Linked DNA regions of Mus musculus: all the other regions are reported to be linked to region 1. Evidence: microRNA targets listed by miRTarBase, many of them from high-throughput screens and not tested one by one. Region 1 holds a microRNA gene; each other region holds the end of a gene's coding sequence.

The links. The annotated mature microRNA mmu-miR-467g reads UAUACAUACACACACAUAUAU and lies in region 1 at 2,537-2,557, opposite strand. An mRNA with a match to its seed (bases 2 to 7 or 8) in the 3' UTR can be bound and repressed. Matches are read on the target gene's strand: a 7mer-m8 pairs with bases 2 to 8, a 7mer-A1 pairs with bases 2 to 7 and ends in A, and an 8mer does both.
Region 2: the mRNA of Rbm41 is a reported target of mmu-miR-467g. Seed matches in the 3' UTR shown: 7mer-m8 at 651-657, 7mer-m8 at 837-843, 7mer-A1 at 2,563-2,569, 7mer-m8 at 3,865-3,871, 7mer-m8 at 3,869-3,875, 7mer-m8 at 3,877-3,883 and 3 more.
Region 3: the mRNA of Stard8 is a reported target of mmu-miR-467g. Seed matches in the 3' UTR shown: 8mer at 3,182-3,189.
Region 4: miRTarBase lists Arl8a as a target of mmu-miR-467g. Seed matches in the 3' UTR shown: 8mer at 3,708-3,715.
Region 5: the mRNA of Ptdss1 is a reported target of mmu-miR-467g. Seed matches in the 3' UTR shown: 7mer-m8 at 3,057-3,063 and 7mer-m8 at 3,053-3,059.
Region 6: miRTarBase lists Chek1 as a target of mmu-miR-467g. Seed matches in the 3' UTR shown: 7mer-m8 at 2,006-2,012 and 8mer at 2,056-2,063.

Annotation. Positions count from the first base shown.
Region 1 is chr5:34,730,336-34,735,410 of GRCm38, forward strand. Mir467g (microRNA 467g) reads right to left here and starts at 2,637; the gene lies at 2,518-2,637. Grk4 (G protein-coupled receptor kinase 4) reads left to right here. Exons shown (of 16, transcript NM_019497.2): 11 at 1,146-1,235.
Region 2 is chrX:139,941,273-139,946,347 of GRCm38, reverse strand. It overlaps Rbm41 (RNA binding motif protein 41), which reads left to right. Exons shown (of 7, transcript NM_153586.2): 7 at 445-4,820. The coding sequence ends at 611. Among named protein-coding and RNA genes, the nearest start is that of Rbm41, 55 kb to the left of the region's middle.
Region 3 is chrX:99,072,654-99,077,728 of GRCm38, reverse strand. Stard8 (START domain containing 8) reads right to left here. Exons shown (of 14, transcript NM_199018.2): 13 at 4,799-4,975; 14 at 3,001-4,646. The coding sequence ends at 4,529. Among named protein-coding and RNA genes, the nearest start is that of Stard8, 33 kb to the right of the region's middle.
Region 4 is chr1:135,154,268-135,159,342 of GRCm38, reverse strand. It overlaps Arl8a (ADP-ribosylation factor-like 8A), which reads right to left. Exons shown (of 7, transcript NM_026823.2): 4 at 5,074-5,075; 5 at 4,868-4,935; 6 at 4,560-4,630; 7 at 3,075-4,121. The coding sequence ends at 4,072. Among named protein-coding and RNA genes, the nearest start is that of Arl8a, 10 kb to the right of the region's middle.
Region 5 is chr13:66,996,090-67,001,164 of GRCm38, reverse strand. Ptdss1 (phosphatidylserine synthase 1) reads right to left here. Exons shown (of 13, transcript NM_008959.3): 13 at 2,764-4,197. The coding sequence ends at 4,088. 4933433G19Rik (RIKEN cDNA 4933433G19 gene) reads left to right here. Exons shown (of 9, transcript NR_045851.1): 7 at 1,130-1,205; 8 at 2,477-2,615; 9 at 4,111-4,347. Among named protein-coding and RNA genes, the nearest start is that of 4933433G19Rik, 34 kb to the left of the region's middle.
Region 6 is chr9:36,705,832-36,710,906 of GRCm38, reverse strand. It overlaps Chek1 (checkpoint kinase 1), which reads left to right. Exons shown (of 13, transcript NM_007691.5): 13 at 477-2,425. The coding sequence ends at 572. Among named protein-coding and RNA genes, the nearest start is that of Acrv1, 15 kb to the right of the region's middle.

The DNA.
Region 1 (5,075 bases):
TCTATTTATTTTTATTCCTTAGCCCTCTAAACTTGGCGTGCTGCCCTCTATGCTGTCCCCTTATCATATATCAATTGTCACAGAGTGGGGGTGTAGAATGCTGTTATGGGGACTGGTCATGATGTGATAGCTCCTTATCAGCATCATGGGTGCCTCTGACATTGGTATCTCTGGATCTGAGAGTGAGCCCTATTGCTAGGATGCTGGTTGTATGTACACTAAGTAGGTTAGCAATTTGAGAAGGAGCTTATGATTAGTGATTCTTAATAGCTAAAAGGATCTTTCTGTGGAGTAGGAAACATAAACCAGAGCCAGAGTGATTCCTGGAAAGAATAGGCTAGTGTAGCTCATTACTGAAGGCAAACATGGGACATTATCAGACTTAGCTTTTATATTTACTTCTGCCACTGCTTTCTGCTCGTTACCTAACTTATGTACTGACCCCAATGAAGAAGAAAGGTGCTTGAAATTTCATTTATGGAATAATTAAGAAGTAATTTGACTGCTTCCAACTCTTAAACTTGTGATTTGTGCTGGGTTATGCTGCACTGGTATCTAGAGTTGGCATTGAAGGGAAGTGAACAAATTATATTGAAATACATTGAGTAGTTTACTAGGTGTCTTATGAGGGTAAGTCTAAATCCTATGATAGGGGTCCTTAGAAGAACACTTTCCATAATTAGTTACTTTCATAGGACTGTAGCCAACATTTATGCCTTCCTATACCCAAAACATTTGAACAGTACAGTTCTCTAAGTGAAGTAGCTTAACTGATAGTTATGAGTAAATAATAAATATGGTTCCTCTGGTTTTTATCTAGTGGTGATTTACTGTTAAAGGGCTTCTTTAGGTATAAATATAATTTCTTGCTGTTAGTGAAACTCAGTGTGCTATATGAAAGTACATTACATATGTAAAAGTTAAATATAATTTTTAGATATTGCTATTTTTAATACATTTTTGTGTGTTTTTATCACTAGGGATAGAATCACAAGCCTTATATATCATATACAAGGGTTTTATTACTGAGGTATATCCCCAGCCCTCATCAATACGTTTTAGATGGACTTTGCCTCGCAGTTATAAATTGTCACTAAAATGTTACTTTTCCCAATGATCTGTACTTTGTGTGTGAACCTGCACAGGACACATCCGAATTTCAGATCTTGGTCTAGCTATGGAAGTCCCAGAAGGGGAGATGGTACGAGGAAGAGTTGGTACTGTTGGCTACATGGGTAAGTGAAAGATGACTTTGGTGGACCTTATCCATACCTTCTAGGTGTCCTAGGGCTTAGAACCTAGAGGGAAGACTTAGCTTTTAATTTACTTTAAGTGTATGAACCTCATTAAGCCATAACAATAATGCTACATTAAAACATTAATTTAAAAAATATTTATATTACATTTATTTATTATTATGTGCATGTATCTGTACATATGAGTACCTAAGGGAGTGCATGTAAAAGTCAGACAACAATTCAAGTGGGTCAGTTCTCTGCTTTCACAAAATTCAATTAGTCAGGCTTGAAGGCAAGCACTTTTACCCATTGAGCCATCTTTCCTGCCCCTAAAATAGCACTTAATAAAGCTAATTATCACTCTGATACTTTATAAACAAACACAACAATTCAGTCTTCCTGTTGGAAAACAACAATTAGCTCTAAGTTTAATTAAAAAAACAAAACAAAACAAGATTTTGGGGGGTCAGGGGAAGCTGGGCATGGTGATCTATGGGATTAAAGGTGAGCACTACCACACACATCTAATAGACATCTCTCCCCTGCCTTTATTGTTATTTTGAGACAGGGTTTCTCTGTGTAGCCCTGGCTGTCCTGGAACTTACACTGTCGACCAGGCTGGCCTGGAACTCTGTCTCTGCCTTCTGACTGCTGGGATTAAAGGCTTGTGCCACTATCTCTGGCTTCTTTCCTTACTTTTATTAAACAGATTCTTTTCTCATACAGTATAATTTAAATACAGTTGAATACAGTTCCCTTCCCTCTGCTCCTCCCACTTGTTCCCCACTCTTCTCCATCCAGATATACTACTCCCTGTTTGTCTCTCATTAGAAAAGAACAGGCTTCTGGGAGATAACAAAACATAACAAAACAAAATATAATAAGATAAAATGAAAACTATCATATTGAAGTTGGACAAGCTAAGCCAACAGAAAAAAATGAAAGAGGCCCAAGAGAAGGCACAAGAATCAGAGACCCACTTGTTTACATATTCATAAATTTCATAAAAGTACTAAACTGAAAACTTTTATTTATATATATGCATATGTGCATGTATTTATTTATATATTTATAAATATATAAAAGTTATATATTTATATATATTATATATATTCCCCCGCAAAATGCTGGGACTAGATATCATCCAATTGAGTTGTCAACTGAAAGAGTATCATGGAAATCCCTAACAACCCAGGCTGTTACCAAGACAGTAGGTTGCTCTCCACAAACTGACAACAAGGCCTCATTACATTCATATATATACATGAATATACATATATATATATATACATGAATATATATATGTGTGTGTATGTATATATACATATACATGTGTATGTATGTATATATATGTATATATATATACACACACACATATATATATATGCATGCACAAGACCTGGTGCAGACCCATGTAGGCCTTGTGATTGATTGCTGCTTTAATTTCTGTGAGTTCATATGAAATTTGCCCAGTTGTTTTAGAGAACCTTGTTCTCCTGGTGTCCACTCTCTCTTCTGATTCCCCTATTCCTCTGCCTCCTCTTCTGAGGGGTTCTCTAAGCTCTCAGGGGAGGGATTTTATGGAGATATCTGGTTTAGTGCTCTCTCTCTCTCTCTTCTCTCTCTCTCGCTCTGTGTGTGTGTGTGTGTGTGTGTGTGTGTGTGTGTGTGTGTGTGTGTGAGAGAGAGAGAGAGAGAGAGAGAGAGAGAGAGAGAGAGATTTGGCTCTTTGCATTTATTGCCATCTGCTGTAGGAAAAAGCCCTTGTGGTGATGACTGAAAGGCACTGAACTGTGACTATAGCAGAATATCATTAGAAGTCATGTTATTGTTACTAATTTTTTTGACCAGTGATATTTGGTTATACTCTAGGTTTCTATGATATCTAGACTCTGGTTCTTGATGACACAATCAGTGTTGGGTTTGGGTATGGCTATGTAATAGGCCTTACGTCAAATCAGACATAGGCTGATTACCCCCACAGAGTTTGTGTCACCATTGTAGATCTAAGGATTTGTGGTTGAGTTGCTGTTTGCTTTTCTCTTTTGGTACCCTGCAGAATACTTTCCTATGTCATAGGCATTATAAAATGGGAGCAAAGGTCCTATGTAGGCATCAGATTGATCTTTCCATTTTCAATGAGTTGTGTAGGTATTGTCTTCAGCAATGAGCCCTTGTCAATTTGTGGAGAGCAACCAATTGTCTGAGTAACAGCCTGAGTTGTTTGGTGATTTCCATGGGACCTTTTTAGCTAACAGCTCAACTGGATTATACCCAGTCCCAGCACTGGAAGCTTCATTTAGTGACAAGACATGGCAATTAAGAGTTCTGACTCCCTCATTATTTGGAGACTTCATTTGGATTGCCTTCATATAGTTAGTTTTTACTGCACTAGATTTCCATACTGCCCCACAAATAATCTCCAATTCTTAATGTCTTTCCCCTTGATAACTTTCTTCTATCCCATCTTCCCTGTCCCTTTTCCATATGATCCTCCCATTCAACCTCCCAACCCCTGATTCCAGTCCACCCATAAAATCTCTTTTATTGTCCCTTCCCAAAGAGATCTAATGTGTCTCTCCCAGTTCTGGCCACTATATCTAACCTCTCTGGGCCTATGGATTCAATGGTTAATATCCAAATATAACAAATTACATACATATTTATATTTCTGGGTCTGGATTACCTCACTTAGGATGATTTTTTCTAGTTCTATTTCCTTGACTGAAAACCAACCTACCTTCCTTCCTTTCTTATTTTGAGCTGAGTAATACCCCATTTTGCAAATGTACCACTTGTTCTTTATTCATTCTTTTGATGAGGCTGTTTGCAATTTCTGGATATTATGAGTAGAGCAGCAATGGATATTGTTGAGCAAGTATTAGGATGAAATGTCATTTCAGTATATGCCCAATAGTGGAATAGCTGGATCTTAAGGTAGATAATTTCCCATCTTTCTGAGGAACCACTATACTGATTCTTGAAGGAGTGTTGGATTTTGTCAAAGGCTTTTTTTTTTTTTTTTTTTTTTTGTGCATGAAATAAGAGGACTATATGTTCTTTGGTTTGTTTGTTTTTTAACTTTCAATTTGTTTAGATAGTAGATTATATTTATTGATTTTCATGTATTGAACCATCTCTGCAGCTTTAGTATGCAACCTACTTGTTTATGGTGCATTATCTTTTTTTATGTCTTTTTGAAGTCTATATTTTTGCATCTATGTCCATAAGGAAAATTGGTCTGTTATTCTTTTTCTTTGTTGGGTCTAGGTGTAGTTTGGGTATCAGGTTAACTGTAGTTCATAAAATGAGTTGGACAGTGTTCCTTCTGTTTCTATTTTGTGGAATAATTTCAAGAGTTTTGTTGTTACCTGTTTTTGAAAGTCTAGTAGAATTTTGTACTAAAACCATTGGGCCCTGGGTTTTGTTAGGGTGGAAAACTTTTTAATGACTGCTTCTATTTCACTAAGGGGTTATAAGTTCGTTTAAATGGTTTATCTGATCTTGATTTAACTTTGGTAAGTAGTACCTATCGAGAAAATTATCTATTTCTTACAGATTTTCCAATTTTGTCAAGTACATGGTTTTTTAAATTTTTTTAAAGATATTTTCTTTATTTACATTTCAAATTTTATCCTCTTTCCTCATTTCCCTCTGAAAACCCCCCTATCCCATCCCCTCTCCCCCTGCTCACTTTCCCAACTATTCCCACCTCCCTGTCCTGGCATTCCTCTACACTGGGGCCCTTCACAAGACCAAGGGCCTCTCCTCTCATTGATGTCCACAAGGCCATCCGCTGCTTCATATGCAGCTGGAGCCATGGGTCTCTCCTTGTGT
Region 2 (5,075 bases), not on the chromosome of region 1:
TGGAGAGTCCTCTTAAGGACCTTGGGGGTGTCCTCTGCCTCCTCGCCCAGGTGACCTGGTGCTGGTGGTGACCGGAAGGATTTGTGACCCTGGTCAGGCCGGGTTTTCTGCTTCTTTAGTGCTGTCTCAGGTCCCGCGCAATTGGATTGGAACAGAAGTTGTGTTCCACTCACCATAGGTCCTAAGATCGAGTGGAGAGTCCTCTAGGGACCTTCTGGTTGTCCACTGACTCCACGCCCAAGGTCACCCGGTGCTGGCCTTTTGTCACTATTATTGCCCATTAATTTAATCTTGACTACTTATACAAACTGGGGATTGCAGGCACGACAAAAACATCAAACATCATTATGATTTTTTATAGCACACAAATCCAAATTAACCCTGTAATATAATTGAGTGATTAAGCACTATATAATTTGATGCATGTTTCTTATTTTTTTCCAGATAAAGACATAGCATGGCAAGCACTGCACCAAATTAATGGATATAAACTCTATGGGAAAATATTGGTGATAGAGTTTGCAAAGAGCAAAAAGCAACAGTCAGCTGTTCAGCGCTCTTCCCTTATAACATCTGCTCCTGATGGCAGAACAGAAATCAATGGCAGCTAGGAATTCGTATCTACACACATGTACATGCACATTTGGATATATGTATGTAAATGAATATTCAGATGATTTTTCTTTTCTCATTTCTTAGATCAAGAATATGTAAATTCATAAAAATTTGTTGAAAATTGAAGAGGAAATATAAGAAAGAAATTAGGACAGTTGCTCTCAGCATTTGGAGAGAATTGATAAAAGTATTTTCTTTTTTTAAGATATATTTATTTATTTTATGTATGTGAGTACAGTGTAGCTGTCTTCAGACACACCAGAAGAGGGCATTTGATCCCAGTATAGATGGTTGTGAACCACCATGTGATTGCTGGGAATTGAACTCAGGACCTCTGGAAGAGCAGTCAGTGCTCTTAACCTCTGAGTCATCTCTCCACCCTAAAAAGTATTTTCTATAATTAAATACTGTATAGTATTGAAAAAGATTGTATAAAATTGACAATATCCTGGGTGTTAAAGATAATAATGAAACACTATATATGGCAGAAAATACCCTGAGGGGTAAGACCATGTGAAAACCTTTAATTCTCAGGATACATTACATAGGACTGTTCCTAAAGATCCCAAAAATCCTTTAATAATTTTGTAGTCTTCAGTGTTTAGTCCTAGAGATAAGACTTTTTCTAGGAGTGTTTCCTGTATACGAAGTTTTAAAACTAACCCAGTGTTAAAATATTTCTTTACTGAACTCAAACTGTGTTTTGTCAGAACCTTCAACAGTTTCAGTAGGTAGATTCATAAGTTTATTAACTTAATGATTGCTTCCACACTAAGTTTTCAGAGTCCTCAAAAGCATATTTATTATTATGACATCTTTTAAACCAAAATATTGGTAGTCTATGATACTATTGCATTCAAAACAATATCCATTAAACATGGAGTATCTGTCTAATGTATGAACTTTCAAGACAAATGAACTAGCATCTATATTAAAGGGACAGGAAAGAAAGTTCTTTAGAGGAAAGGCAGCCTGCCTCAAATTCCCTAGTGATTCGTTTATAGTTGTTGAAGAAGAAGAAGAACCTAAATGGTTTAGACGGTAGAACCAGCTTTGGAGTCAGACCTGTGACCCTCAAAGTCACCCATGTTTACCATCCTGAGCTTAGAAAGTCACTCACTCTGAGCCTCATTTATCTCATCTATAAAAAGTAACATTGCTTCTGACCTCCCTGAGTAAGGGTTAAATGAGATTATAATATCCAAGGTATTATATTATATTATATTATATTATAACAAGGGGAAAAATGAACTTTAGGGTACTCCACTAAGTACATCAAACAACATATAATAAGAATTTCATTCAAAAGCGAGAAAGAAGCATAAAATACTACAAAAGGTCGAGTGAAATGGCTCAGTGAGTAAAGGCATTTGCCACCAAACAGGAAGACCTGAGTTCAAACCCTCAGACCTGCCAATAATAGGACAAAAAGGCTGGGAAATAATGCTATAGTTTCTTTAAAAATCCTGTAAATCCATAGGAACAAATAAAACAAAAGGGAAATAAGGTGGCTAAATTTTACTAGGCTGTAAACCTAATTCTGCTTCCTAGAAGTAACAGAATTATATTGGTAGTTGTACTGTTCTGTTAGCCCTACAGTGTGTTGAAAGAGTTCGCATGGCTGAGGAAAGGGAAACAAAAATGCTAGAGATAAAGATCCACTTTGTGTTTAAAAGGTTGGTGTTTTAAGATGTGAGAATTTTAATCACATATTTTCATAACTACAGAGCCCTCAAATAACCTGAAACAAGGTAGCAAACAAAGTAAAGAATGAAAGGAGAAACAGGCACATCTCCAAACTGGTGGGTACTCAGTGTCTCCTTCCTAATACAAGTACTGCTGCACAGTTGATAAACAAGGAAGTAGCCAGTTTCAGCACTGGATGCTGGATAGATCTGAAAGACAGCTCTAGAATATAGCTCTACTAGAATATATATATTTTATCCCATGTATATGAAACATCTTTAGGCTAGATCATGAACTGAACCACAAAACAGGCCTTAATAAATACAAATGGACTAAAGTCTTGTCAAACATGTTCTCTTCCACATGGAAGAAGGTTACACATCAGTACCAATAAATCGGGAAACTCACAGATAAGTGAAAATTAGTGATAACTTAAAGACCAAGTCGGTCAATAAAGAAGCGGGAGAGATGGCTCAGTGCATAAGAGTACTTACTGCTCTTGCAGAGGACCTGAGTTTGATCCTCAGCATCCACACTGATGGTTCCCAGCTACCTTTGTCTATATATGGGATATGCTTAGAGATAAGCCTATTCAATGAGAAGAAAGACCGTGTAACAGTAATTCACTTCATATCTTAAGCCATAGGAAAATAATAGCAAACTACACCTAGAACAAACAAAAAGGGGAAAACATGCAAAATGCCTGAGAATAGAGTACAAGAGAGAAAATGCAAGGAATCCAAGCGAGAAACTGGCAAGCCTTTTGCTACATACAGCAGGAAGAGGTAGAATGTAATCATTAGTTTGAGAAATAAAGGAGGGAATGTTGCTACTGACCTTTGAAAAATAGAAGGTGTGTGAGGGAGTACTGTTGTACTCATGTGTCAATAGATTAACCTACTAAAAATGAACAAATCCCTAAAAAGATAAAGTACCAAGAACCAAATATAGGAAGCCAGAATCGACCTACTAACAAATAGGTTAAAGAAGTCACAAGACAGATAAGCCACAACAATACCTATACTTAAGTTGCTTTAGATTTGAAATCTAGAGTTCTACTAAATGTTTAATAAAACAGTAATCCAGTTTCTTCACATGCTGTTTATTAAGAAAATAAGGAATACTTCTGAGATATACCACCACATGGGAGAACCCTGAGAGTATGTTCAGGGAAAGAAGCCAGTCACTGGTGAGGACAAAATGTGCAATTCCATATATATGTCAAGTACAGAGTTGGTTTAAAAAGTGCATATATATGTAGTAATAAATGGTAGGCAAGAAAAGCTAGAGTGTTCATAAATTACATCAGTGGTTGTATAACAATGAACATACCAAGTGGGTGAATGTTGTGGTATGTGAATTAAATCTCAGTGAAACTCAAAAACATAGGAACTTGGACATTATCCAAATGTCCACCTGTCAACATGAGTGACTTTTAACTGATGGCACATCCATTTAGTTGGGTATTATGAAGCCATTAAAACAGTAGACTAGATCTATGAATATATTGTGACCTCTACTCATATCCAAGATTTTATATTAAGTTATAAGCTAAGATACATGTATGTATGTATTTATGTATGTTTGTATGTATGTATGTAACACATTTTTAAGCAAATAGTTCATGTGTATAGTTTGTAGAGATAATTTCAAAACAAATATAGGAATAAAATAGGAAATGTATATAACGGGCTGTAAACCTTCTGCAAGTGACTCCGTACAAGCTAAAAACAAAACACCTCCACCTTGGAAACATTTTTAGGTGGTATGATTTGGAGCGATTTTTACCTTTTTCACTACTTTTTAATTAAAGTAATTTTTAAATATTCTTACAAACACTTGGCTTCCAAAATATTAGTCAGACCTACTCTGAGGGTTTCTGACTTTACTCAGGACAAACTTGTATTCATTTGCTATATTGCTCACGCGATTAACACTTCAATTTCTCCTAGAGTTTAAGGGGTGGGACGTGAAGGAGCCACCCTGGTTACAGCCTCTTGCACATGTTACCCTGGGCTACACTTCTCAGCCAGGTTTCCCGGAAGGGACTGCTTCCTCTCAGGTGGGCAGCCTTACCTCCTCCTTGCTAGACCTGCAGACCACTTAAAAATGGAGACAATCTAATCGAGGGTACCTTTCAACTGGTGCAGAGATAGAGAAATTGGTGTATCCCGACAGCAAGATTCTACTCAGCAATAACAAACTAAGGAACCATATATGCAACAACTTGGATACATCTGAAATGTATTTTGCTAAGTAGAAGAAGCCAGACTCAAACGGCTGCTTACTGTTATATTTCATTTGTGTTGTTTTCTGGAAAGGATGAAGCAATAAGGCAGAAAAAGCAGTAGACACCAAGTATCGGCACAAGGGATTTCTTTTTAATAATAGGAACTTTCTCTGTGTTATTTATAGTTACAATGTGTATGTGTTTGTTAAAACTCAGAGAATTATGCAACAAAAGAATGGATTTTAATGTGTGAATTTTTTAACAATAAAAGTAATTTTTGATGAAATAGAGATTTGGAAAGAGATTCATTTCATTAACTAGTGCAAGTATTGTGTGGTCTCTAATTGCTACTGAAAACCCAAAGCTACTGGATTTTTCGTTTGCTTCTCATAGGTGAGCCCAAGCCACTAAATTGAAACCTCTTTATTAGCTACTTTTCTTTCGTTGTGGTAAACACCATAAGGCAGGTAACCTGGAGAAGGCACTGCTTTGGCTCCCGGCTCTAGAAAGATACGAATCCCTTGCCATTATGGCAGGGCTCGTG
Region 3 (5,075 bases), not on the chromosome of region 1:
TTGACTGGTCTGACCTCTGCATCTGGTGGTGTCCTCTCCATCCATAGAAGAGAGAATCAGGACTCTGAGAGTGAGGCAAGCAAGACACAGGGCTAGAAAGAAAGAATGATTTTGAGGTTCCCAACACCCACTTCCTGAACCTCAGAGGCTGTGTGTGACCCTCAGAGGGAGTTCAGCCATCTGCTTTGGATTCACTTGATCGGGGACATGTGTCGTTCGCCTTAACCTCCAGGGCTCATAGATCTGAGAGCACTGAGTGAGACCGAGAACCAGCAGCCTGGCACCACCTGGCATGGCAGTTCTCAGGCTCGGTGCTCCATGGGGGTCCCAAGCCGTACAGGAAGTGTTGGTGCTTGGGAAATGGGAGGTGTGTCTCTGGAAGGATTACCAGCAGCACACAGATAGGCATGATGCAGGCTGGCTGTGCAGCTGTACAGACCCTGCTGGGTTACTTGGACCATGAGTACCTGTGAAGAAGGCCTCAAACCAGAGAGGGAGGGGTCCTGATGTGGAACTGCAGCCTGAGCTGCCAGCCTCCTTTTCCACCTCATGTTCTTTTGATTCAACATGGCCTGCCTGGGGCTCCCTCTACCCTGGCAGCCAGCTCAGGGCACCAGAGGCCCTGGAGAGAATGCTGGATGAATGTTGTTCTTCCAGAAATCTTCCCCATCTTATTTGTCTTATTGACAATCAAGCCATGTGTCCTGGAAGCCCACCCCTGCTATGCTTCCCCCTACCCCAAAGCTACCTTTTTGCCCCCCAAAGCTGGAGGCTGAGTGTTTTTCTGCCCATCTGATTCTCTTCCAAAGTCCCAAGCATCACTGATGATGAAAAGTCAAAGATAGGCCCTGGCGAGTAGAAGCAAGACTAGGGAAGGTCATGATAGAGGTGACCAGTCTGTTTTGGCTGTGGCTGGTTGTGATATCTGTTGAAGGATTCCCACCTGAACGCTCCTGGAGCCAGGAATGTGACAGAGCATGATTCATAGGTCCTCTACTGGAGCTCTGATGAAGGTGAGCTGTGACAGGCAGCAGGCCTTTTGCACCTAGGCTAATAATACTCCCTGGTGAGTGCAGATGCTTTCAGGAGTCCAAAGTCTGCTCGGTGGTGTGCCATTTAAGCCTTCTCCCCAGAAATAAGCTGCACACTGATTAATCTGATCTGATTCTGTCCCCGAGTGATGTCATAGCTCTGATTGATTTTCCTAAGCACACTCAGTGATTCTTCCGAAAATGACTATACATGCATTGCTCAGAAATCTAAGTTTTATGACTACTTTCTTTTGACCTTTGCCCTGGAGCTTAGATGTTTTTTTCTTTAGTTTCCTTTTGCTTTGCTTTGCTTTGCTTTGTTTTTCCTGGATTGACAGTTCTTTTAATATACACAATGTATACCAGTACCTCATATAATTTACTAATGTCATTTTTCAGTGGCATCAGTGTTGACCTCATAGAGGCAGGGTATAAAAGCTGGGTTTCCTTGTGTACCAAGTACAAAATGTGTTGAACAGTTATATATAGTTAATATAGTCAACAGTTGTATAAGATCAACTTTCAGGATGACTCAGTTTACCATAGTGGCTTCACAGCATGTTGTATCAAGACTTGAATGCCACACCGTGCTGCCTTGTTTCTGGAACAGCAACTTAGATCCTGACAACCTCCTCTTTGCTTGCCCCACTTTTGCTTGTTTTTGCTGCTCCCGTCATTGCTGCTGCTAAACTTGCCTAATGTTTGAAGAGTCTTTTCATGAACTCAGAACCAGGCAGTTCGTGTTGGAATTCACCATACTCATTCTTGATTCTATCTCCTGCCTTATGCCAGGAACCCTTGTGTGGAAGACTTTGAGCAGAAGCACAGATTTCAATAATGGGAAAACAATCATCCTAACTATTGGGTTTGTCTGTCCAGTTCTGTGATTCCATTCTAATAATGTGAGAAGGTGAACCTGAAGATGTCATTTGGAGAGGATGGGGTAGTACGCCCACTTTTATTGTTTTGATGCAATTCATATGTCTTTCTCTCTCTCTCTCTCTCTCTCTCTCTCTCTCTCTCTCTCTCTCTCTCTCTCTCTCTCCCTTTTTCTTTTTTAAGTGATATCAACTCGGGCAGGATCAAACTTGTAAACTGGAGAGATAACTTCTACTACCTAAGAGTCAGATGAAAAATCATCAACTACCGAACGCTCGCCTATCTTAAGGAAACCAATATGCTCTTCCATCTACCAGCATTAGGTACGAGGAGATCTAGTCCTGAAGCTCCACCCCTGAAACAACCCCATGCCCCTTAATCTTAGAATGATCTCCCGGGCCCACCCTACTACGTCAGGGGCCCTCTGCAGCAGCCCTGGGGCATCTCCGGGTGTCTGCCATTCACTGAGAGTAGCAGGGAAGAGTTCTCACAGAATGTCCAAAATGACAGCAGCTTCGATGAGTCAGGCCATGGCCTAGAGCTTAGAAGTTTTATGGCCACAGCAAACTGGTAAAGGTCTTTCCTTTGGGGGAGATCAAATAGAACCTGGCTTAGAGATCCCAATACTTTGCTGCCTCAAGGCAGGCAGCCTTCTTTTAAGTGTTGTGTATGTGGTATAGAACCCCCCAAACCTGAGGCCTGTACCCCTACTACTTTTGCTCTGCCTGGGCTGTGTAGGAGTGGAAAGAAAGCTCTGAGGCAGGCACAACCCTTCTTAGAACTGTTATGGACTCCTGAGGTCACGATGGAAACTGACGCTCAAATCCAGGACCCTAGCCTAGTCATGGAATGAAGGTTGAAGTTTTTGTCTGAGGCTTGGCTTCTCCAAACTCTGCCTGCCTTCACAATCACCTTCCCAAGACCAAAGGTCTTTGCTTTTCCCTAGGGTGTTACCCCAAGTCCTGACACCATTTGCTGGGGAGTCTGCAGAAGGTAAGGTCCAAGCTCACAATCTGTGACCTATGGATATGAGTTGCAACCCAAGCTCCCAGCCCATTGTCTCAGCAAAACAAACTCTCCAGAGCCAGTGTGCATCTCCAGTCCTGCTTTATTATTCTGCAGAGGGAACTGCTGCGGCCTGCCCTTCACCTCTCCTCTCTCGTTAGAACAGAAGTGTGTTAGTCCAGACCCTGCTCCCATCCAGAGATTATAACGCACTCAAGAGGGAGTAGCTGTGTGTGCATGCAAATATGTGTGTATATGTATAGGTATATACATATGTATATATATACACATACACATATATATTATGGCTGTACAGTATTTATAGGCACAGACAAAACAGGATTAACATCACAACGATGGCTACAAACCACCACAATCCAGTTTACTCAGCCAAAGACAAAGAAAGCACCACTTGGCCTCTGAATGGCTGCTCGGTTTCTATCTGAACAAACATAACCACTAGATGGGATAGATCAGGCTGGTATCAGCCAGGATGGCTAAGGTACGCCCTTCTTTGTGTTTTTCTAGGGTGTCTACTCTAGGAATGGACTTTTCTTTTTCTTTTTAAGGACACTTGGTTTTGCTTTTTATAAAAGATTTATTTATCTATTTATTTATTATGTATATCAGTACACTGTAGCTGTCTTCAAACACTACAGAAGAGGGCATCAGATCTCATTACAGATGGTTGTGAACCACCCTGCGATTGCTGGGAATTGAACTTTTAGGTCCTCTGGAAGAGCAGCCACTGCTCTTAACCACTATGCCACCTCTCCAGCCAAAAGGACTGTTCTTATAGACCACCACTGTAGGCAAAAGGCATGAGGATACATTTGTATTTCTTGCTGCCACTGTCAGCTTTGGCCTGGCCTGTGTCATGGGAATGAGCTATTTCACTTGTATCTATGGCCATGAGTGGCCAAAGGCTGCCCACAACTCTAGAGAGTAATGGATAAAGTGTGGGTCAAAGTAGGGGAGGATGGTTCATTGGTTTCTTGGGCTTGAGGAAGAAAGGTCCTCTAACCTCAGATCCCAAGTTATCCCAGTTTGTCATGTTACCTACTAAGGGCCCATAGGGCCACTGTCAATCTTCAGAAAGTTCAGCATCATGTTCACATATAAAATGGATTGTGGTGGTCATTGTGTCCCCCGTGCTTACCCGATCTGGTGTTCCAGACCTGTATTCAGGATCAATGTTGGCCCCAAAGGCAGGATCAGACCTCATATTCAAACTCAAAAGAACCCTAGCACCAAATAAGATGGCCTGCCTACTTGGTATGGCAGAGAGCCCAGGCTGTCCAAGGCTCTCCACCTTCTTCCCCTGCTGGGCCTCCAGATACAGCAGCGTCTTCTTGGTCAGATGGACAGCAATGATCTTCTTGCCACTAACAAGATTCTCTTCGCTTGTGAGATCAGAATGCAGTATCGGGGATGAAGGTGGGTGGAGGTAGGATACCTACGCCCTCTTCTCTTGTGTGTGTGCAGAGTAGCATTAGGATACAAGAGGATAGGTAGCTGGGCCACCGAGGCCTGGCTGTGTCTCTAAAGGCTTCTCAGTTCATATTCCCACTCATTTCTTTGGTGGCAGACACCTGGCAATGTCAGCCTAAGACTCAGAGCTTTGTTTCCGGGCCAGCTGCCTGAAGGGTTGGGAAAGAGTCTCGGATCTTTGCCACTTCCATGGCACACAAGTGCCCAAAGACTTTGTTGTACCAGTCAGGAGAACGGCCCCTGGGGAGGAAGAGGCAGGCAGATATGAGAAATGGGGTTTCCGTCCAAGAGAGAAAGGAAGTCTTTCCCACACTGGGTATCACTGACATAGGGTAAGTGCAATGGATGGGCTCAGGGCCAAGGGGGTGAGGCAGGCATCCCAGGCCTGGTACCTGAGGTCAGCGCGGCAAATATGAGTGAGGCGAGAGCGGCCCAGGCCACAGGGTTCCATGAGGTACTGGGAAGTGAGCATGAGGGCGCGTACTCCAGACTCTGGCACGGGTTGCTCAGGATCCAGGGACTGAGAGACAAGGAGGCACCCACCACGAGGCAGGTCCGAGCGCCACATCCTGGAACATGAAAGGGCAAGAGCCCATGTTTAGGTCCCTACCGCTGACCCTTGGCCCACCTTTCTGGCCCCGGACAGCAGGAAGGTGACAGGAATGCCTC
Region 4 (5,075 bases), not on the chromosome of region 1:
GTCTGTTGCTAAGTGATGGAGCTGCCATGTGCACCCTTTGTGCTGGAAAATGACACCCACCCATTTCTCGGCAGACCTGTTGCTACAGTGACCGAACTCTCCGGCTTTGTGTTTAGGAACTTTGAGTGTGTGGGTAGTTGGAGAGGGGGCAAAGGTGGGCCCATGTCTCTGAACAGAACCAGCCAGCATATGCTTTCTTCTATCTTCCCTCTACCCCAGCCCTGCACACACCAATAGCTCCTAACTGGCCGGGTGAACTGAGGTGAAGTCAGGGGCAGGGAGAGGATTGAGAGTGGAAGGCTAGGGGGTGGGGTGGGGTGGGGGTGGGTTCTGCATCCTGTTTGGTAGCCTCTTCCACAAAGGGCACACTCTGGACCTCCCTCTTGCCTGCTGGCTGGCCCAGAGCTGAAGGGGAATGGGAGGGGGGAGGCGGGAGATGGTGGCTCTTAGACCCTACCCCGTTGCCACCTTCCAAGCCTGCCAACGTGAATGGCTTGCAAAGCTAGTCAGCAGTCCAGCCAGTCTTGGGAAAGAGCCACTATCCCTCCAGCCTGAGCCAGCCAAGGAACAATGTGGGATTTGTTGTTCAGGGGTCCCAGGCTTCAGGGGGAGGGGTTGTTGCTCAAGGGTGGGCAGTGGCTTTGAGCTGGGATGCTCAGGAAAAAGATGATGACATCCACAGTCCTCGGAGCCCGATGCCAGGGGAGAGGCATCCCCTGACATTCCCCACGGGTTATCTTTGTTCTGTCTCGGCTCCACCCGTCACCCTGGGCCCTGAGTATACCTGCTTCAACCTCAGTCTCAGCTTCTCACTCTGGAAACCGGAACGATCTCTCCTTCACAGAGGCCTATGGTCATTAAATGAGGCCAGATGCATCATATGCTGGAGCTGGAGCCCAGGGGTAGACTCCTTGCCGAGTGTGCTCCAAGCTCTGGGACCCATGCCCATTGTTAAAGAGGAAGAGGATGGTGTTCTAAGCATCTGGCAAAGTTCAGTGCCTTTTGGGATTCAAATCTCTAGCAATATGGAATAGACTTGCTTTTTTGTTTTTGTTTTTTCGAGATAGAGTTTCTCTGTATAGCCCTGGCTGTCCTGGAACTCACTTTGTAGACCAGGCTGGCCTCGAACTCAGAAATCCGCCTGCTTCTGCCTCCCAAGTGCTGGGATTAAAGGCATGTGCCACCACCGCCCGGCTTAGACTTGCTTTTAAACTACTTTTTTTTTTTTTTTTTTTTTTTACCATTTTTAATCATGTGTATGTGTGTGGAGTATGTGCACATGGACACAGTACCCACATAGGTCAGAAGTCACCTGACACATGTCCTAGGAGCCAAACCTGTGTCCTCTGGAAGAGCAGTACATGCTCTGAGCCACCTCTCCAGCCCCTTGGCCAGATATTAACTCATCTACTTTTGCCCTCAGAGGACCCAACCATGATGTTGTTTATACATGTAGGTTTATATGCATACTATCCATAGTTTATTCCCTATCCAAGAACAGGTTGTTTAGCCCCCGCTGCATGCCTGTTGTATGAATTCACTGTGCAGGGTACTGATTTTGCATGCAGTGATAACAGGCTCATCATCAAATCGCATCTGGAGAACACAGGACCCAAGCGGCAGCTCAGTGCTGCAACATCCTCAATGGCTGAGAACAATGGTCCTCTCCAGATATAGGCATAGAAGCACAGCGACTTCCTTGAAGCAGGCAAGGCAAAAGACAGAGCCTGGGCCCATCCTCCTTCCCAACTAAGGGTCACATTTTTTTTTTTTTTAAAGATTTATTTTATATATGTGAGTACATTGTTGCTGTCTTCAGACACACCAAAGAGGGTATTGGATCCTGTTACAGACAGTTGTGAGCCACCATGTGGTTGCTAGGAATTGAACTCAGGACCTCTGGAAAAGCATCAGTGCTCTTAACCACTGAGCCATCTCTCCAGCCCCTAGGGGGTGCATCTTATCCTTGTAAGGGGTTGGAAAGCTCCTGAGAAGCAGCAAACACCATCCAGTTTTTCCTCAAATCTTTTTCCCCCATGCAGTCAATGGAAGCCAGGGCCTGGTCTATTGTATGCTCCATCAGCGCTCTGTCAATGAGCTAAATCTCCAGACCCTGTCTTCAAATCCCCCCAGCAATAAGAGATCCTCTTCCAGGCTGGATATATTCACGGCTGAGTAGTGGCCTCACCCAAATCCTCTCACAAACCAAGGACAGATGTGGCTGTTTCTTACTGCAGATGCAGGGTGAAGAGATTGCTTATTCTACACGGAACATTCCAGTCTCTATTTCCAGGCAAAGGGGAGGCAGAACAGGGAGTGGGGGAGGGGGACCCAAGAGATCGAGGGTCAGTATAAAACTAGCTGTGGTTGGATTCACATTGGATCAAGGAGGGCCCACAAGAACTGAGGCTGTGAGCTCCAGCTAGACAGGCAGGGTAGGAATTCTATCCATCGAGTTAACAAATGGTTGGGTCCTTTTCTTAGATTTTTGGTTGTGAGCCTAGCCTTTAACGGCTGAGCCATCTCTCCAGCCCTGGTTGGGTCCTTTCCAAGAGACCAATAGCATGGACAGCAAGGATGACAAAGGAAGACTCTGCAGGCCCAGTATACCCCTGAGGACATTTGATTTCTTCTTGGTGGGCACTGAGTGTGATGAGAGGATGCAGAGTTCTGTTCTGGCTCCACTCTGGCTATATGGGAACAAGCAGGTGTAGACTGAGAGGGGGCCATGAGCTTAAGTGTTTATGATGGAGAGCAATTCAGTTTGAATGCCACATGAAAGGCCCAGGTCTGGGCAGCTCCTCTAACAGACCTGCTTAGTGCCACTTGGCAGCTGTCAGCGTACAGGAGTGAGAAGCAGACAACAAGCAGGGCCCAGAAACACGTGTGGGCTGCTGTCCCAGTGTGAGCACACGTGATAGGCCACTGTGTTTCCAGAGAGCGTGAGTATGTGTTCCCTGTAGGTGTGGCACCCTGTGGTCATCCCTGTGTATGATGTGTAGTGGTGCTCATGCCCCTGTGGGTCCGCTGGTCGGTGATATCTGTGGGAAACAACCAGCACCATACACACCCCCCAACACAAAATTGGTAATTTATTGTTGTCATTATTAGGAGGCAAAAAAAAAAATGTACAGTTACAAGGATCGTTTTCCAAACAGAGGTTAAATATGAGCTGAAAACTGTAAAAAGGAAGAGGAACATCACTTTACAAATTATTAAATTAAACAAACAAACAAACAAACAAACAAAACCAAAGAACCAACCCTCCCATGCTGAGTTCTCTCCTTGTACAACTCTGTGAAATGAGAACAGAAAATGAGATGGGCCGTGGAGGTGGGGACCCTGGGTAGGGGCAGGACCTGGGGCCAGGAACAGTGACAGTGGGGGTTGCTGGGACGACATGGACCCTGGTCCTCCCTCTTAGACCTGGTTGTACCTGGTGGCCCTATCAAGGCTGGGGACAGAAAAGGAGGCTCCTGCTGGCCTTCAAATTCAGGTCCTCCACTGGGAGACAGAGATACTTTACAGGACATGGGGACAACCACTGCCCTATGTGGCAGTCTCCCCTCTTCTGCATATGAACTTGCCCCACATCGACCCTGCATCTCTCTCTGCCTTTCCAGTTTGCCCCTCCCAGGTCCCGATTGGCCCCTGCAGCATCAAATGGTTGATCTTAGTCTTTGCTTAAATTAAAAAATTAAAATATATATACATATATATACTGTACACACAGGACAATAACAGAGTGTTGAAAGGGGAAGAGGAGGGTGGGGCAGAGAGTGAGGAGAGGGCTTGCGGGGCCAGGGCTGTTGACAGGGAGGGGAGTGGGGTAGCTGAAGGGAAAAAGAGAGCAAGGGAGAGAGGTTAGGGGACCAGACTTGGGGAGAGGGCAATTATTTTACAATAAAAACAGGAGTTGAAACCTCAGCAGAATAGGGCTCTAGGAGCCCCAGAGGGCCCTCCCCACACTGGGTGAGGAGGAGTGGGCTTAGGGAGAGACAACAGGGTGGGCGGGGAGCTCGGCTTCAGGTTAGGTGACTGTGGTCCCTAGTCAGAAGAAGAGCCACAGTCTCAGCTTCTCCGTGACTTTGAGTGTTGAATAAGCCACTGTAGGGTGATGTCTGAGGGGAGACAAGAGAGAAAGTTGTAAGGCCTCCCTGTGTGAGAAGGGCCTGGGAGGTATGAACAGTTAAGCCAGGTTCCTGCAATGGCAGCCTGGATCAAGCTTAGAGCTGTGACCCCACCCCCCCCCACCCCCCACCCCCAGCTCCACCCCCCCCCACCCCCACCCCCCGCACCAAAAGCTCCAAGCTAGTGATATAAAAGACACAAAGCCACAGCTAGCAAAGAAGGGACTGGAATACCTGCTCTAACCAATCTCAGAAGTGGAAGAGGGGGCAGGGCTAGGGTAACACCCAGAACTGGGGCCTCCTAGCTGCCTGCTGCACCCAAGGACAAAGTGGCTCGGTATGGACTTCCCAGATACCGCATCAGAAGTATCTTTCCCTTCAGCCCAGCCACTCCTGGCAGAGTGCCAGCAACTTCCCCAAGCCACGCACCTATGTTGTCCTTCTCTTTGCAGGATATGGAGTAGCAGCAGATCTCTCGGTCCTGGATAGCAGACAGGTTCCTGCGGGAAGACCAGAGAGGAGTCAGCGGATGCTGGAGCAGTTAAGGGACCAGGGAAGGGCAGGGTGTTTTTCTCAGTAAAAGGTCTACAAGAGGAGGGCGAGGCTTCTGGGAAAGATACGTTCTGCTGCCACCATGTGGTAAACACCAAGAACAGCAACAAGCCCAGCCCAGAAGCCTTCGGCAGCTGGGGAATTTGGGGGAGCTGAAGCACACAAAGAAAGGCCACTCAGCTCACATTTTCTCGATTAGCTCCTTCTCATCTAGCGCTCCGGCGAGGTCTCGCTTGTTACCAAGGACTAAGACCTATACAGGAAGCAAGCCGGGGAGAGTTAGAGCAAGGATACCTGGGTACCTCGGCTGTACGGCGCTCCCCCCCTCCCCCGCCCCCGCCCCGTGATTTCTGATCAGCTCCCTCTCCCACCCGCTCCATCTCCAGCTGACCG
Region 5 (5,075 bases), not on the chromosome of region 1:
TAGACTATTGCAACCTTTGAACAGTGTGGGACTGTGGCAAAATATATCACCTTAGAGGTCAGGAAGCTTCAAGTTTCTATAGGCCTGGAATCATAGCACTCAGTAGGCTGAAAAAGGAAGACATCTGTGATCTCAGGGCCAGCCTGGGATACATAGAAAACCCTTGTGTTTTTGTTTTGTTGTTGTTTGTCATTTTCTTCTCTTTTCTTTTAAATCCGTCCAACACATTCAAAGAAAGTAATAGCAGGGTAGACAAAGTCCCAGATGAAAATTTTAAAGTGGACCAAAGAACAGTTTTAGGAGACATCAGAGAGAAGGAAGATCTTTTACAATTTAGCAGGCCTTCAAGCTAAACAATTCAAGTCTAGCTATTTGTCCCTTCTTTTGTAGACATTAGTCATTATTCCTTTAAATTATTTGGGAAGAGAAAGGAGGCCACCAGGGTAAGAGGAAAAGCAAAAGGGAATGATGGGAAGTATAATCTAAGTACAATGCATACATGAATGGAAAGGAAACATATTATTTCGTACAATCAATATATGCTAACAAAATTACTTTAAGTCCACAGAAGATAGTAAAATTGAAAAGCTACTATGTTTATTTATTGCATCAAATTTCAAAAGTCTGACTAAAAAAAAATATTATAACCTTTACCTGTGACTGTCTTATCATCAGGTTTAGAATAAAAGGTGATAAAGGGAGATATGAAAATCTAGTAATTCTGGATGAGCAGTAATACTGTGACCCATCAGTATCAGCCACTCCAATATCTACTGCAAAGAACAAAATCTTAAATATAATCATAGCAACATGCATCCTTGTAAAAAAAAAAAAAAAAAAAAAAGAAAAAAGCGATGGTCTACTAGGTGCTGGGATGCAGGAGCCAGAGGTCTTTTTCCATACAGAAATAAAAAATACATAGGTACAAGTGTCCACTTGTTGGATTTCTAGATATTTAAGTGACACTCACCTAATAAACATATGGTGATCCCAGGAGTCCCATGACAGTCACCGAGTACAACGAATGGGTTCCAAGCACCCAGTGTTTAGAGGGTATACTGCAGTCTATCCCCAAAGGCCCAGTTTCTTATTTCCCATCCAGTGGTAAACCTTTTTTTCCTCTGCCCAGGCTCCCTTCTGTTCACTCTGTGAAGGCTGGGAAATTCACCATTTACCTCCAAACATTCTAGACTAAATTTCAAAAGGTAAGCCTTATTGAACAAAGCAGGTATTATTTCTTAGGATGCTCTAAAGCAAGTGGTTTCTAAGTAGGAACCAAGAAAGCTGGAACTGATAGAACTAATTTTATTTTCCTGGGTGAGACCTTGATTTCCAAGTTCACTTAGGAGGCAGTTGCAGCAAAGGCTGGCATTTACGAGATGCTGAGTATCACTAAAACCTCAGTGGGGTAGTGAACATCTAAGCATGGCTGGGAGGGCAAGTGGGCAAAGCCTCTTGGTGAAAGGTGAAAGGGACATGAGGGAAAGGAGAGAGGCCTGTAAGGACCAAGGATAACAAAAGGGAGAGGATTTGACAAGAAAGACACTCAAAATCTCCTCCTGCTTTACACCATGAACTGTGGTATCTTTAAAGCCAGCAATCTTTCAAGAGGGTCATGAGATGACTTATAGTCACCACTCACTAACAGATACCTCTGGAACATACGCTCTACTTTCAATCAACCTAGGGTCAATTTCCAGACGTCGGCAGAAACTTAGACTAGGACCAGTGGTATGGTGTGGGGGAAAACGGCACAGTTATGCACAGTGTTGGTTTCCTCATTGCCGTAGCTAAAACACTTTCTCAAAGTGAAAATGAAAGTTTGAATTCAATGCACATGGAAAGTATCTAAGGACTTTCCTAGCTGTTTCCTACAAAGCCATAGAGAAATAATGCTTTGTATGCTTTGATTCTTGCACACTCCACAGGCACTTTCTGTCTAATTATAGAAGTTGGGCATGTGCCTCTTCAGAGGGGTTGGCCTACCCGCTAGATGAGTCCCACAGTGCCAGTCCCTGAACTGTCCTGGAAAACAAACTTGGAAACCCTCATACAACCTATATGAGCAATACAAAATTTTAGGCTTATCAAAATTGCACAGAAATAAAACACTCTTCTATCTGCAAAGCAAAGCAATGTTTAAAAGTTATAAATATATTCATAAAAGCCTGTTTTGGCCGGGCGTGGTGGCGCATGCCTTTAATCCCAGCACTCGGGAGGCAGAGGCAGGTGGATTTCTGAGTTCAAGGCAAGCCTGGTCTACAAAGTGAGTTCCAGGACAGCCAGGGCTATACAGAGAAACCCTGTCTTGAAAACCCCCCCAAAAAAGCCTGTTTTGTTTGATGGAATGTGAGGAGAGAGCCAAATCTCAGTAGCAGAGCCCGTGTCTAGTACACAAGAGGCCCCAAGTTCAATTCCAGAACTGCAAAATGAGGGATGAGGAATGATAGGTACCTCTTTGTTCCCCTTTAAACAGGCTCATGGAACACTATGGCAAAGTTTAGAGCTGTGGCCTGCCATAGCCTCTTGGGGTGGACCAGTGGACATGTGTGGCTGGCTGAGAAAGCAAGTCTGTGGGTGGCTCTTAACTCAAGTGTTCACCCAGAGCAATAACGGTGAGTCGAGTTTTTCTTCATGATTGATTTAAATCTCTCATCTGGGAATTCTTTTTCAAAAAAGAAAGGAAGGAAGGGAGGGAGGGAGGGAGGGAGGGAGGGAGGGAGGGAGGGAGGGAGGGACAGAAAGAGAGAGAGAAAGCAAAATAAAACATAACTTTTATAGTTCAAAGACTCCCTTTAAGGAGGCAAAGAAACAGAAATCATCGTGCTTTGGTGAGTGAGCAGCAGGATTGTTTGTAGCAAGTTTGTTTTACAGCCCACTTGTCTGAGAAAGAAAATCCAACCTAGTAAGTAAGACCATAGTGACAGACAATGCCCCTGCATACACTTCCATTCCCTGTGGATCACTCTGGAAGGTTCAGATAGGACATATATGTGTAAGCCCCTTTAAAATATATTTTTTCTTTTTTCTTTCTTTACCATATAGAACACACATACATACATATTATCCTAAGGTCAACTGCAAAATATGAACTTGCCTCCAAGTAGTTAAAAGACTAATAAGATACAAAGAAACATCATTCTAACAAAGACAGATCATTGATGAGCTGTTTAATGTGAACTGATATATTTAAAACAAGGATCCAGGGTAGACAGGGAGAATGTTTTAGTAGAACATGGCACAGATGAAAGTTAATTAATACCCACTAGCACCTCACATGAGCCAGAAAGACAGAGTAGGCAAAACATCACAGAGGAAAAACCAAGCACATGGAAAAGGACCCTGGCAGGGAGCCCCACTGTCCCAGATCCGCTCGCAAGGTCGTTCTTGTGCACTCAGTCTGGACAGTGTCTGGAAGGGAACAAAACAGTTCTAATCTGAAGCCGAGGCTCCAGTGCCAGCAGCCAGCCTCTTCACTCCGGCTGGGGTCATCTGCCATGTGGCTGGGGACTGAGTATGCTTAGCTGGGACACCAAAGCTCCTTCCACCCTTTGTTTCTCTAGAAGGAACCCTCCCCCAATTTCAGCAGTGGATTCTGGAAGCTTTGAAGCTATTTAACTCAAAAACATGAAGTAAAAGCAGACTCTCTGAACTTAAACAATCAATCAAATGGACAGGCAGACTCATAAAAATAAAACCAAGCGACCAGTTCATTAGCCAGTTAGTTAAGTCAACATCTGAATGAAGACATTTATACAACATCCACAAGACACACCAGCAGAGAGCCACTGCTGGCAGCTGGGAATAAACAGCTATCCTGTCCTTCCAGCACACTGTATTGCTACCAGAGAATGCAGGCCATACGCTGAAGTTTAGAGACTCTTCCAGTTGGCAAAGGACCCCGAGCCATGGTCAGCCTAGTGTGTGTCCAGGTCTATGGGAGACAAGACTTACACTCTCAAGTCACGATCCCCTAAGCTCCCTCGGTTCTTTCCGTACATTATGATCTCTGCATAGGAAGGTCCAAATATGCTGTTTTCCTCTCGGGTCTAGGCACTCTGGAACATCTGACATTAACTAGCTTCCTTCATTTCTTTCCAACTCCATTAGTGACTTTGGACTTAGAATGCCGGTTCCTTCTTCTGGAAGAATGGCTTTCGTGGTTGCTTGAATGCTTCGGTGGGCTGTCTTCAGAACCTGCCCAAAGAAAGCCAACACATTATCACCAGGGGCCTCTGGGCTTTGTGGCTGACTCCTGGGATCTGCCATGCTTCTCAGCTAAAATCCAATTCTTACTTGATGTCCCTCTAGTGGCCCCATTAATAAATTAAGGCCAGGGGAATCTGACAGTCTTGTCTATGCCTTGTGTGTACCAGGTAACTGTCCCATAAAACTGGAGTTCTAAGTAATTTTTAGTCTGGGACACAGTCATGAGGACCAGAAGTGAGTTCAAATGAAAGCATAAACATTAATAAAAGTTCAGCCACACTGGTAGGTATCCATCTTATGCTTACAGCTACAGTATAGATTCCCCAAGTCTGTATACACTGAACGGTTAGACAGGCTTTGTAAGGTCTCAGTTGGAAAAGATTCTTGACTTTATAACTTTAAAACTATTAGCAGAGACATCAAGATCTTTACAGGCAAGGTACCTGATGCTCTGAGTGACAGCCCTGAGGTGACATTGTAACACTAGGGCTACTGTTTCCTCTGATATGAGGATGTGGCCAGCCCCTAAGGGAGTGGCTAAGCCTAAACCCTCTCTTCTTCAGTGTTCTGGTTCAGTTCTGGGTGAAATATTTACCAAAGACAGCCACTTAACGCCACTCCCCAAAGGCCCAGAAGCATTTTGTCTTCATTCGAAGTATTTGTCACAGTCCCAAAGGTTCTGAAAAGTTTCTCCTCTCTCTCTCTCTCTCTCTCTCTCTCTCTCTCTCTCTCTCTCTCTCTCTCTCTCTCTCACACGCACACACACTTCATATGCTGCATCACTTGCACACATAAATTCTTTCTATTGGAGAACGAGGAATGCCCAGGGCTGATTATGTAACTGGATGGGCCCAGAGAAGGTCAGT
Region 6 (5,075 bases), not on the chromosome of region 1:
AAAAACTTGTACATTATAATATAGTGAACTTCACAGATTTTGTGATTAATACCATTTTGCTCCCCTATTATTTTTAGTTTAAAAGTCTATTCTGTATTAAAATCAATATAATGTCTGTTTTCTGATAGTTCATGTGTGGTTCTAGAAAGGGTTGAAGAGTAATTCATGTTCTGTATGTGGGAGACTGGTTGAAATAATTCTTTTCTAGATTTTTGATATAGTTAAAGGTTTCTTCTCTAGTAAAACCCATAAATTGTTATAAAATCCTGTTCAAACAAGTCAGATTTATATGGAATGCATAACTAAGCTGGAATGTTGGTGCATACCTGCAATCCAGTATTCTCAGAAAAGAACCGAGAGGAGGAGGCAAGAAGAACTGGACATAGTTAAGGGTGTTTGTTTCTTTGGTCAGGAATGAGAATGTGCTTTTTTGATACAATCTTTTTTATATTTTTAAAATATTTTTCCTAAAATAGGGTGATGGATTAGAGTTCAAGAGACACTTCCTGAAGATTAAAGGGAAGCTCAGCGATGTTGTGAGCAGCCAGAAGGTTTGGTTTCCTGTTACATGAGGAAGCTGTCAGCTCTGCACATTCCTGGTGAATAGAGTGCTGCTATGTGACATTTTTCTTCCTAGAGAAGATTATCCTATTCTGCAAACTGCAAACAATAGTTGTTGAAGAGTTCTCTTCCCATTACCCAAACATCTTCCGATTTGTAGTGTTTGGCATACAAATACTACTGTATTTTAATTGTATGTAATGCTTTGGGGAAAGGATGGATCAAATTCATTAGGTATTTCTCCAGCTGTCTTTAAATTGTCTGGATTTGAAACCAAGTTATGGGATACTTGAGTTTGCCAGCTTTTATACCCATGTAGTAGTATCACTTTTGAAAAATCAAAAGCTTGTTTCATCCCAAGCAAAATATTTTCTTCTCTGCCTATTTAATTGTAAGGATGAATAAACACAGACCATATACAGTTGATTGGTTCATGAATGAGGCCAGCCACAAAAATGTGTATGTTAATGTATGTACTGTATTTTCAGTTTGGGTATATGTGCTGCACAAGGGCTTGACCAATTATAAAACTTTTTTGAGTTAAAGTGTTTTAAATTGCAAATTTTCCTCCTGGCGTAGCTTGTCAAATATAAAGACTAATTTGGTTGGATTTTCACAAAGTTGAACATAAACTCTAGTGCTTAAGTGACATTACTCTAAAAATTACACACTTAAACAATTTTTTCTAGATTCACAGCCATATTTTAATTACTCTAGAAATAAACTATTTTCAAAATCAATATCTAACTCTGAACTTATTGGCCAGCCACCAAGTTTCTAGATGACACTGACTGAAAAGGGGCGGGAGTAAGGAAATGCAGGAGTTGACCGGATCCTTGTTCCTCACCTTGTACACTCACTTAAACTTTGTTTTGTTCATAAAATTTATATTAAAATATGAATATATGATTGGGGTCCTGTATTCCTTTTCATAGATAAATTCCAACATTAGTTAGTCTGAAAGCTGAGAACATTTAAAATTTTATGGCTCAAGTTTATTTCATGTTGGTATATGCTGTTGTCACCCACTTAACTCTCCCATCCCCAAAAGTTAACTTGAACCTAACTCTATTCAGTCTCCTGTTTCCCACTTGTAGTCCCACTGTGGTAAAAGTCAGCCATCTTGTTAAAAACGTTACTTATTCGAACCCCAAGTCCCATCTGCGCTGTACTGTTTTATGTCATTGTCTTCTTCATCTGATGGTATGCAGTACTGTCTTCCGAGCCTGTATCTCTCAAGTCATGATTGCTTTCCGCCATTACTTGGCACCTACTCAACTATATTGCTTTGGTCTCCATGATTTTGAATATTCTTGTACTTCATATAAGTAGAATTGTATATTTGCCTCTTAGTGTTTGGGTTACTTCATAACAACTCTTTTCAGGATTTATCTATGTTATAACATATCAGGTTTCATTCCTTTTGGTGACTAATACTCCATATTATGTATGTCTGTGCGTGTGTGTGTGTGTGTGTGTGTGTGTGTGTGTGTGTATGTATACTCTTTCATATGATCATGCATATTTGGATTGTTGCCACCTTTTGTCCATGTAATTGATACTGGTGTGAACATGAATATATAAGTACCTGCTCAAGTATGTTTTTAATTTTTTGTGTATAGACCCTGAGGTAGAATTGCTATGTCATATGATAATTGTGTGTTGTTTATTTTTTTCCGCTTATAAAATACAACAATTTATTTAAAATTTGTAACAACTGTTTTTTGAAACAGGACCTCACTGTGTAGATCAGACTGGCCTTTGGCCTGTGAACTCATTGTCCAGCCCAGGCTGTTTCTTTTTTTCCTGACTCTGTCTCCCAAATACTGTGATTACATAGCATGCCTGGCCCAACTTGACTTTGACAGGACAGCTATATTTACAGCTATGTTGTCTTTCCTGTGTAATTTTATTAACACCAAAAGCTATATCTTTAAATGTTGTACGCACACTACAGTAAATATGGGTTTTATTTATTTTTTTATTTTGAATCAAGTTTTCATGTAGTCTAGGCTGGCCTTTAACTTGCTATCCATGAGTGGATAGCTTTAAATTCCTCATCTTTCTGCCTCTACCTCCTAAGTGCTGGGATTACAGATGGCGTGACAGCTCATCTACATCTTCTCCATCCTTGGGTTTTACATAATTGTTCTTATATTTGTTGTTGCTGGGGATCCAATCTAGGATCACATTCAAGTCTTGCAAACACTTTTACTGAGCCAGATCCTTTTTTTTTTTTAAAGCAAGTTTGACAATTCTTTTTTTTTAAAAATTAATTTATTTATTATATGTGTGTACACTGTAGCTATCTTCAGACACTCCAGAAGAGGGCATTAGATTTTTGTTACGGATGGTTGTGAGCCACCATGTGGTTGCTGGGATTTGAACTCAGGACCTTTGGAAGAGCAGTCGGTGCTCTTAACCACTGAACCATCTCACCAGCCCCACTGAGCCAGATCCTTAAGCTGGGATTTTTAGTTATGCCTTTTCAGAGGTATTTGTATTGTGGTTTTTTACTGCTCTCTAGCATCTTTTCATCTAAAGTTCAAGGGCAATCTGTAGGCACAATTTTTTTGCAGCCTATTGTAATAAGGGTTCAACCTCTCTTCTTGCCCACCACCTGCTAGAGGTAGCAGAAAAGAAAAGTTATTAGAGATGGGGGAAGTAGACCTGTTTAGCAATAATTTTTAGCCCTTTAGGGGTGAGCTTGATCTTCTTTGTCCCCCGTTCAGTCCCATAGCAAACACCAAACAGAAATCAGCAACTACCGTCCGGTCCTCTTGGCAGGCAGATAACAATCTGTAGTTCAGTCCTGAGGAAACCACAAGGCTTGCCAACTGGTCCGAGGCTATGGAAGCAGCAAGAATTAGAGCAGTTCTTTGGTGAGCCTCTTCCAATGGCAGCATTACCACAAGTGGAGCTCAACAACAATATGTAGGGCCAACTAATACATGTGTGTCATTAGTGAAGAGTAGCTAGGCAGAGCAAGCCAAACCAACGCTCTTGCTCTCATTGTGTGCGGGATCATATTTATACTCCTTCATCATGTGTCCTTTCACCTGTGTCTGCTTCATGAAAACATTCTTTCACATGCCTGCTTTAGCGAGATATTCTTTTATCTGTGTGCCCCAGCAAAAAATCATTTGTCATAACTGACTTTCCGAAGAAACTTAGAAATTTCCACTTTAGCAATCTTAATCATTTCTTACATAGCAGTAGTAGTTATAATCAGTTCCTTTAGCCCACTGTCTGTGAATCTTAATTTTGCCTTTATTTCTATGGGATAATTCTGTTTCACCAGACACTGAATTTTTAGTTGATAGTGTTTGGACATTTTTTTTTTCCTTTCATTAATGTATATATCACCTCACTGCCTTTGGGCCTACAAAGGTTCTGCTGAGAAATTAACTGTTTTTATGAGACAGTGGCACTAAGTAGCCCAGGGTAACCTGGGCCTCACTGATAGACCAGGCCTACATTAAACCTGCAACTCTTCTGCCTCAGCTTCCCAATGACAGGGTTACCAATGTGTACTACTGCACCCAGCTAACTGATAATCATATTTAGGATCCTTTCTCTTCAGTGAATTGCTTTGATGCCTTCAAGAGTCCTTTTTCACCTTTAGTTTTTGATAGTGTTGTGACAGTATGTATGTCTCAGTCTTAACCATCCTGAGAGCTCATTGTATTCCCTGTGTTTGCAGATCCATGCCTGTCTTCTGATTTGGAAGCATTTCAGTCAACTAGTCTCTGTCCATCCCTTAGTCACTTGTGAGGTAGTACTGACTGTGTGATAGTGTTGTTTAAGTCCCAACTTAAATTGCTTATGTCAGGCTTCCCTTCCTCCTTATTCAATTTTAAGCCTTCGGAGTTGGTGATAATCCGTGGTAGGAATGTGTGTCAGTGCTAAAACATCTGACAGTGCTGTATGGTTGAACCGAAATCAGAGTTGCGGATTCTTGGTTTAAACCTGCTGTTAAATTCTCCAGCACCAACACTGCTTGTTTACATATTGGTTTCCTGATTGCTCTCACATCAAAACCTGTTGTTCTCTGAACACACTTGAGACCCTCCATTTAAAGTGTTTCTGTGGGGAGTGTTCAGTACAGTTTTCTTTCTTTGCATGTCTTCCAATCGTTTTGTTGAAAGCTTGGCACTTGAGGCCTGGAGATAGGGCTCGGTGGTTCAGAACTCTGGCTGCTCTCACAGAGCATGCAAACCCCCAGCACCCACACTGGGCAGCTCACAGCTCACCTATAAATAGCTCCATGGGATCCAAAACACTCTTCTGGATTCTGGCCACTTGTACATCCATACATACCTAGACATATTTTTACAAAAAACAAAAACAAAAAATAAGTCCTTAAAAATAGTTTTTCCTTGAAAAACAAACACAACTCTTAAACTTGCTTTGCGCACATCATAACAGCAAGGTATGTTTTGAGCCTTGGGATCAAGCTGATGTGAAGGGTTAGTGTCTTCTCGTCCTTCTTGCCTTCACATTCCTTTTCTCAG